2 linked regions of the Rattus norvegicus genome follow. The protein of the gene in region 1 purifies or fractionates together with the protein of each later gene. This does not show direct contact. Links are inferred from orthologs where the notes say so. Each region holds a gene or a part of one and is shown in the gene's direction. Other genes may lie near its edges.

Region 1 (4,549 bases):
CTGAGAACCTCTGCTCCCAATCTTTTCCCGAGTAACCACAGACTCTTTTCCCTCAGGGAGTTGTGAAGAATAAACCTTTCTTTTTAGATCAGGTTCCACACGGTACCAATGTGGCTTACAGCCAGAGTAAAGAACTTGGGACAGTTTTGAGTTTGGATCTCTGTGGGTCAAAGTCTACCCAATTCAGTTCATATCCTCTGACCCAAAGGGGAGGGCTCTTCTCTCTGGCTCAGCCAGATTTTGTGCAAGACAATTAGTATGTCAAAATACCAGTCTCTGGCTTTGGAGTCAGGCCTCATGGGTTTACTTTTTAGCTCCGCCCCTGAGTGATTCTGCTTAATTTAACTCTCCACCTCTTTATCCTTCTAAACTTTAGTCCCTTGACCTACCTACCTGCTTAGACTAAGCAAAGAAAGTTTTAAAGACGTAAGAGCTAGAGAAATGGGACTGGAATGTAACTTAGTGGTAGGACATGTGCTTGGCAAACCCGAAGCCCTCAGTTGGATCCTGAGCACTAAAGCCAAAACTAAAAAGCCGACAACAAAAAGCAAACATCAGAACTAACGCTTTTGCCCAGGCCAACCCTTCACAGACAGGTCTTGGAGTGGTCCAGAAGCCTAAGCCAACCCGGTGTCCTAAGGCAGTAAAGATCCAGCCTGGCCCAGGAGCGCTCTCTGGCGGCCAAACTCCCAACATCCCTTCCCTGGTTGGCCTTTTCCAAGGCTGAACTAGACCTGAGCTAAATTGTCACCTCCTCCTCTGCGTCACTCGGAGGACCCCGCCCGCCGGAGCGTCTCTCCAGAGGGACAGGCCCCCGCGCTCCCCTGGTTAAGCGCCCCTCCTGCACTGAGTTTAAAGGTCCCCGCAGGGATCCGCCCCACCGGTCGCCCCCAGACAGACCGCCTCCCCCCTCCCGCAAAGAAGGTGCGGCACACCCTGCCCCCGTCGCGCTCAACCAGTCCCTCCCGATTCCGCTCCGCCCTCCCCCACCTTTGCAGGAGCCTCTTCCTGTCCCCAGATCCCCGTGCCAGCTTAACGAGACCTCCCACCGGCCCCAGAGGACCCGCCCTCCGGGGCTCCGCCGCGAGCCCGCCGCCCCCTCCCATGCAGGTGGGTGGAGCTCCCGTGGCCCGCCCCCAAGACTGTCCGTCATGACGTCACTTCCGCTCGGGCCTGACCGAGGTTCGGCTCCTCGGGCCGAGGGCGGGGGTACGGAGGTGGCAGCTGAAGGCAGGAGGCGGTGCGGGAGGCGAGAAGCTCCCGCGCGGACCAATCCCTGCGTCCCGGGCCGAGACCCTGCTCCTGCAGCGCCCCGAGGAGAGGCCGGCCGGATGGGCCGCTGAGCCCGAGTCGGGGACCGGTGAGGCCAGGGCGGCGCGGCCCGCACGGTTGCAGGGATGCGAGCCCGGGAGTGGACCTCCCTCTCCGGCTCGCCCGGCGGGAGGCACGGGTTGGGGCAGCGGCGGACCGGCTCGGTGGGCAGTGAGGCCCGCCCGGAGAGGCCTGGTAGCGGCCCGTGCCAGCAGAAGGCGGAGTAGTTGGGGTCATTAATGGGGTGGCGGGCCGCCGTTCGAGATTCTCATCGAGACTGGCGTCGGAGGAGGAGCTGACCGTGGCTCGGGGAAGAGGATGGCGGGCGGGGGTGGAGGGGCAACACTAAGAAGCTTGGGGAAAATTCCGTGACCGGCTTGGAGAGCTACTCGCTCTCAAAACTAGAAGGTTATGTGGTCCACCTGCCGAAGGGTCTCTCTGGAGTTTGGATGGGTCATTGATAGTGTGTGCAAGAGACAGCTTTAAGAGTAGCTACACTGAGCTGGTGTGCATAAGCCTGCATGAAACTCAGCCTCCGTATCTTCACAGTGTGGAGCCCCCTGGAGCTGAGATCAGGATGTTCCGCTTCATGAGGGACGTGGAGCCTGAGGATCCCATGTTCCTGATGTGAGAATTCCCTCCCCCCTCGTGCACTCATCCCACTCTAATTCAGGTCTGAGCAGTTCAGACAGACCTCTGGGTTCCCGTGTCTGGAACCGGATAGAATTTAGCTGCAGCTCTCAGACGGGAGTTGGTCTCCTGCCACTGCGCACCCTGACTTATTTGGGGGGAGGTGAAGAAGGCTGGGGTTTAATCTGCCGTCTGTATTGTATGCTCACTCCACAGGGACCCCTTTGCAATTCACCGTCAGCATATGAGCCGCATGTTGTCAGGTGGCTTTGGATATAGCCCCTTCCTAAGCATCACAGATGGTAACATGCCAGCAACCAGGCCTGCCAGCCGCAGGATGCAGGTAACAGTTGGAACATACCGAGACCCAGGGTGACTAGTTAAGTATGCTGCCATTCTGGTCCTACAACCAGCTTTAAAAGGACATGATCTGTGTGGGAGGCAGAGGAGTGGGGATAGAGAATCTGGGAAAGGGGGCTTTGACTCCCGAGGAGAGAAGGATGGGGTTGGGGGATGGAGGCACTGGCCACGTTTGGTATAGTAAGGTCGTAGGATGTAGTTCTAACTTCTGTTCCTTATCTTGTAGGCTGGGGCTGTCTCTCCCTTTGGGATGTTGGGAATGGTGAGTTCTTGTCTTCTCTGTTCCCCTCGAGCTCGCTCTCTCTCTCTCTCTCTCTCTCTCCTGTGTCTCTGTCTGTCTCTCTCTTCTGGCTCTTTGTGTCTCTGTCTCTCTCTTTCTCTGACACACAGATACACACAGACCTTAGATGTTATTTTCAGATGTGCCACTTTGGTGACAATGTTAGTCTAGGGGTGGTCTCAAAATCTTCTCTGGATAGTTGACATAGTTTAGAGCCCATTGAATATAAATCATGGAGCTAGGGCTAGAGAAATGGCTCCAGGGTTAAGAGCACCTGGCTGTTCTTCCAGACAACCAGGGTTTGGTTCCCAGCACCCACATGACAGCTCACAACTGTCTGTCTGTAGTCTCCAGGCATCTGATGCCATCTTCTGTTCCCTACCGTGCATTGCATGAATGGAGGGAACACATACATGCAGACAGAACACTCATTCATAGAAAAATATAAATAAAGTGCTCAAATACTCCTGATAGCTGGAAGTTCTTATCCACTGGGGAAAGTAAGATTGTATAGCAGTTCTTTTGAGGAGGGAGACTTTGGGACACTTTTACAACTCTAGATATTCAGAGGGTTTTTTGGTCGATGTCTTGGATTTTGGTTTTTTGAGACAAGGTTTCTTTATAACAGCCCTGGGTCTCCTGGAACTCACTCTGTAGACCAGGCTGGCCACAAGTCATCTGTGCTTGCCTCTGCCTCCCAGTGTTGGATTAAAGGCAAACCGTCAACATTTAGCATGTTCAGAGGAGCTAACTCACTGCTTTTGGGTCACTTCCTTAAAGATAGGGAAATGCACAGGTAGGAGAAGCATCAGAACAGCCACAGACCCGAGAAGGTGGCCAGCAGCTTATGGGGAGGAGCATGAGTGTTCTGGCTACATTTAAGAAGGAAAGCGGGTCTGTCCTCAGGTGAGTGACAGGCCCACAACCGCTGACCCATCTTCCTGACCCTCTCCTTTCCTCAGTCCGGCGGCTTCATGGACATGTTTGGGATGATGAACGACATGATTGGGAACATGGTATGACTTGCTCCAGTCTTCCCCGGCCTTGATCTCGGTGGCAGCCAACATGGCGGGAGGGGGTGAGGTGATGTGCTAGTGAAGAGGCTGGGTTGGACTGAGCTGAGCCAGAGCACCGGGGTCCTGTGTGTGTTCTTATACCCCTGAGCGATCACATGTGTTAGTGTTGGGCTAGGGAGTTGGGCAGTTGTGATGCCCATTCTCCTTGTGTAGTTAAGAAAGCTGAGGCAAGAGCAGTCAGCTGGAGGGAGCTCCCTTCTGCAAAGTAGGCCCTCCTCATTCAGTCTCTCCTCAGGAGCACATGGCCGCCGGAGGCAACTGCCAGACCTTCTCTTCCTCCACGGTCATCTCCTACTCCAACACTGGGGATGGTGCCCCCAAGGTTTACCAGGAGACATCTGAGATGCGCTCTGCCCCAGGCGGGGTGAGTAAGGAACTCCCCTATCTCAGAGGAGGTAGGACTGATTGGCACACACAGGAACCAGGGACGTCTTTTTTCAGGAATGGGTCGTGGGTGGTGTGTTCATCCAGGGTGATGTAGCCAGGGCTTTGTGGGGACAATTGCATGTGTCTGGTCCCTTTGTCCCAGATCCGGGAGACACGGAGGACTGTCCGGGACTCAGACAGTGGCCTAGAGCAGATGTCCATTGGGCATCACATTCGGGATAGGGCCCACATCCTCCAGCGCTCCCGAAACCACCGCACGGGCGACCAGGAGGAGCGGCAGGACTACATCAACCTGGACGAAAGTGAGTGAGCCAGCCACTCAGCCAGCCTGCCTGCCTGCCTGCCTGCCTGCCTGCCTGCCTGCCTGCCTGCCTGCCTGCCTTCCTTCCTTCCTTCCTTCCTTCCTTCCTTCCTTCCTTCCTTCCTTCCTTCCTTCCTTCCTTCCGAGCAGCAGCCTGTAATCCAGTTCCTTTGCACTAGAGCACAGCTTTCTCTACCGTCCCAC
Region 2 (4,283 bases), on another chromosome or scaffold:
AAAGGAGCATACCCATTCCAGTTTAAGGTGATAATTTATATAAGGGACAGAGATAGACAGGTCTTCAGACAAAAGCATAGCCATAGCAATTTAGTTTGTGGAAATGCCTCTGATGCATGCTCAACTTGTGACACATTAAAGCAAACATATTTGAAGATGCTTGTTACTTTAGTTACTTTCCTCCTGCTGTGATAAAACATCATGACCAAGGCAACCTGTAAAATAAAGCATTTAATTGAACTTAGATACAGAGGGTCTGAGTCTATAATGGCCACAGAGATGCCCTGAGCACTCACATCTCAAACCCAAGTCGAGGCAGAGAGACACTAGGAATAGCTTGAATCTTTTCAAACCTGCCCATAGGGATACACTTCCTCCAGCGAGGCCTCACCTAAGTCCTCCCTGGTGATGAGGACAGAGAGTACAGGGAGGGGGAATTCAAACAACCACATCTGCCTGGCTTAGTTGCCAACCTAGCACAGAGGCAGACACTCTACCGCAGAGCTGTGTCTGCAGCCCCTTTTATTTTTCTTTTGACACAGGCGCTTGCTGAAGCTTCCCAGCCTAGCCTTGAATTCACTCTGGCCTAATTCACACAACTCTGTCTCAGCCTCCAGCGGAGCATTAGACCTGAGACTTGCCCAAGCTCAGACTTCCAAGACGTCCACAAAATGTTCAGATTTCTCGGTCGTGTCGTGAGATGACCGTGTTTAATGAAGCCAAGATAATCCACCGCTCATTAGTATTAAGATGAGTTCAGGATAAGGATGGGGTGGGGGGTGGAGGGGTGGGACTAGAAGCCAGTCGTACTTAAGGGGCTTGTCTCTGTTCAGTGATCTAATGGCTTTGAGTTCTGAGTGAAGGAAGTAAATGAACTTTGTTTCCCTGTGCATTTCTGTATCCTGTGCATTGAGAGAGCAAAACACGACTTTAAGTGGACGCGGCTTTGTACTTCAGCCCTGCTGACCTCTACAGCTTCTGACACATGAGCCTACCGAATATCATTCGCAGAGGATTTAAACAAGTTATGTGTGAAAGTAATAATCCTTTCATTGGAAAGGCAAGACAACACAGATGCACTTGGCTTCTCCTTATTTGGAGCCTGTGGTCCAGGCTTTCCCTGGACTCTCCGGAGCCCGCCTGGTCACCCGACAGGTCGGGCAAGTAGAGACTGCCCTTTAGGGCGTCCTGAATTGTCTCCGGCTCTCCCCACGTCACGGGCAGCACCCACTACGTCCTTGCTGTGAATCGTGGGTGCTGGGAGGAACGGCGTGGGCCCTCGGCGCCCCGGGGCAGGGTCCCCCACCCAGGCGTGCGGGCGGCTGCGCCCGCGCCTGCCCTTGTTTGGCCGCGCGGCCTCGGGGGTGGGGAGCCTGGGAGGTGGGGGCGGTGCCGTCCGCGTCAGCGGCGCCTGCGGTGACGGCGACGTGCGGCCCGCGCCACTGCTACCCGCGGACGCCGAGGACCCCCGGAGCTCATGGCCCAGGCGAAGATCAGCGCCAAGGCCCACGAGGGCCGCTTCTGCCGCTCGTCCTCCATGGCCGACCGCTCCAGCCGCCTGCTGGAGAGCCTGGACCAGCTGGAGCTCAGGTGAGGGCGGCGGGGGCGCGCGCGGGCGGGGGCGCGCTCCGGGTGGGCTCCCCTCCCCCGGCCGGCAGCGCGGCGAGCCAGTGCGGCTTGCAGAACTTCCAGATCCTTCGGCGCGGTCCCCCTCTGCCTTTAACTTTCCCGCTTCCAGGGGGCAGGCAGCAGGTTGGTGTGGTCCTTCCCCCCTCCCCTGTAATAAGTTTCTTTGCCCCAGATCACTTCATAGTAACACAAGAGTAAGTTTTAAAAAAGAAAAAACCCAGGACTGCCCCTCCGGGGGACCAGCGAGAATCAGACTCAAAAGGGGCCGCGCGAGATACCGAAGTTGGATACCATCCTTCCTTCTCTTAACCACGTGCAGTGCCCTCTGCAGTCTGTCCGTGTATGTTGTGCGTTTAGAAGACACAGCTGACACTTGGGAAGTGCCAGTCGCAGGTCTGAAAACACCAAAGGCAGGCGTCACACTCTCCCTGAGATTCTATCACGGGGACGGCCTTGTAGTAAAATTTCTAAATCGTGAATACTACTAGCAGATGCTGTGAATACTTGGCTTTAGCAACATGAGCCCCGGTGTATCTGGTGGGAACGTTAAGGTCTCCAAAGTTGTGCAAGTTTTGATTGTGTGCAGGCGCTGTTCCATGAAAATCGTATGGAGACACCCTGACACATGTTGTTCCCTAGTTTTCTCCAGGTTCTGCATAAGCAGAAATATGAGCCAAAATCTTAAGAGTCTTGTGCGTCTTCATCTCTCTCCGTGCATCCACCAAACACAGTATGTTTGCACAGAAAAATACAAGCAGTGTTTGTTACAATTGAGGTGTTCGCTATTTTTACTATTAGGAGAAAAGAACCAGAAGGTGAGAAACTTTTAGTCTCTGGAGTAGCAACCACAAGAGAAGCCTGAACCCTATGTCCCCCAAACCGGAGGGAGACAAAGGGACCTATGCTGAGAAGGGAGGGGGTCAGCATTAAAGCCCCTCTGAAAAGAGAGGAGTGTTTCCCTCTGTGAGGTAGGCTCCGAACTTTGACAGTACATTCTCAACTGCTCCGATTTTTTTTTTCCTTGAAGGGTTCAGGAAGTTGTCACTCTTCCTCAAGCTGAGTCATTGTTCAGAAACTTGAGTTAATCCCTGCCGGCCATGTGCTGAGTCCCTCCTCTCCTCCTGGGGGCCTCTTGAAAGTCTGGGGGTTGCTTAGTGTTACATTCTAATGTCTGACTACGTCAAAGGAATCTCAATTCCCGGCCCATAGGAGATTAAATTATGTTACTTATTAACAGTTGCGCTGAAGGGGGTTTCTTACTGTGTGTTTAGTGGTTCAAGGCCTTTACCAGTAAGCGCAGATTTCTGTAAGTCTTGTTTCTCTTTAAAAATGTGATGCGCACTTAGAAGTAAGTTTGTCAGAAGGTGAAAGAAATGGGGGGAGGGATGATGCTGCCTTTTAAGGTTTGGGGGCCCTTTTTAGAAGCCACCTGGACAGTGTCACAGAGCAGGACACTTTAAAATTAGGCTTTTCAAACATGGGTAGAGAAAGATGACGCTCCTGTGACGTCCCTCCAACTTTCTTAGTGCCCATGTGTGGGAAAAGCAGTGGATGGGGTAGTGTAAGTCATTGGTTGGTAGCCAGTGTGCATCTTCCATTCAGTTGAACTGGTTCTGTGGACTGAAACCACATCAAAGGCTTTATGTCCTGCAGGATGAACTGACCTCGGGGGGTGTCCGAAATGCTTTAAAATGTTTTATAAATCGGTAACAGATGCCGTTTGTTTCTAATGGCTTATGATATTAACGACACCATCTTACATTAAAACAATATTTTATTACTACGCCTCCTCTCCTGCAGTGCTTTCTCTAAAAAGATAATCCCGTCCTTTCCTGATTTACATGACCAGCTCTATGGGGATTCTGCGCTTGTCGAGGCCGAACGCCTTACTCTTTAGTGGTTATCCTAGTTTATAAATCATCCATGTTAGCATCAGTCTGTAGGCTAGGCCTCGTGTCTCTGGGGGAGTTACCGTTATCTGTATTGCGCAGATGAGAAGTTGAAGCTCAGATATACACAACATGCTTCAGTCCAGAGCAGAGCACTTCACATGTGAACACGGGAAGACCGGCTGCTCAGGTCAACACCATGTGTCCTGGTCTTGAATATCACTTTTCAAACTGTCCGTCTGACCTATGAATGAATATGATTTTACTAAAAGAGAAGAAAATCAATTTAGCGTTTGAGTCAGTAAACATTGAAGACCTGGAGCATGTCTGTTATTGAGTAGCTTCTAGGAGCTGTGGGTCAGGGGCTGGGCTTTGGACATTGGCCAAGGAGGTATAATGGTTGGTAGGACTGGGAGATCGGCTGCTTACACATCTCCCAAAACCGATCATGTGGTGAGCAGCTCCTTCCCAGTTCACTCAGCCAGCAGGGGCCAGGGAAACGGGCCACCCCCTGCTTTGGTTTCTGACTGTTTAAGGTTCCTGTTAGCATGTGCCAGTGTTCCAGGACCCACAAAGCAAGTTGACACCATATTTAATTTGTCGTTAACAGTCTGTAATTTAGAAGGAACGCTTTTCGTGCACACTGTCATTTGAATCTTATAAAACCCCCGAGGGAGGAGGGCGTTATTATCTTTTAGCAGTGAGAACGATGGGCTGTGATGGGACTTGGTGGGAAGGATGTTTGTCTAGCATGTTCATAACCCT

The links.
Region 2: the proteins of Mlf2 (region 1) and Bag2 purify together in Homo sapiens (affinity purification with mass spectrometry; 4 studies listed by BioGRID and IntAct, with this or other methods). This does not show direct contact. The link is inferred for Rattus norvegicus from reciprocal best matches to the Homo sapiens genes MLF2 and BAG2.

Annotation. Positions count from the first base shown.
Region 1 is NC_086022.1:159,424,752-159,429,300, forward strand, and holds the start of Mlf2 (myeloid leukemia factor 2), read left to right. Parts: upstream 1-1,647; 5' UTR 1,648-1,888; coding exon 1,889-1,938; intron 1,939-2,157; coding exon 2,158-2,284; intron 2,285-2,527; coding exon 2,528-2,563; intron 2,564-3,543; coding exon 3,544-3,597; intron 3,598-3,892; coding exon 3,893-4,021; intron 4,022-4,186; coding exon 4,187-4,346; intron 4,347-4,549.
Region 2 is NC_086027.1:43,473,812-43,478,094, reverse strand, and holds the start of Bag2 (BAG family molecular chaperone regulator 2), read left to right. Parts: upstream 1-1,457; 5' UTR 1,458-1,477; coding exon 1,478-1,590; intron 1,591-4,283. UniProt on the Homo sapiens protein: Co-chaperone for HSP70 and HSC70 chaperone proteins. Acts as a nucleotide-exchange factor (NEF) promoting the release of ADP from the HSP70 and HSC70 proteins thereby triggering client/substrate protein release.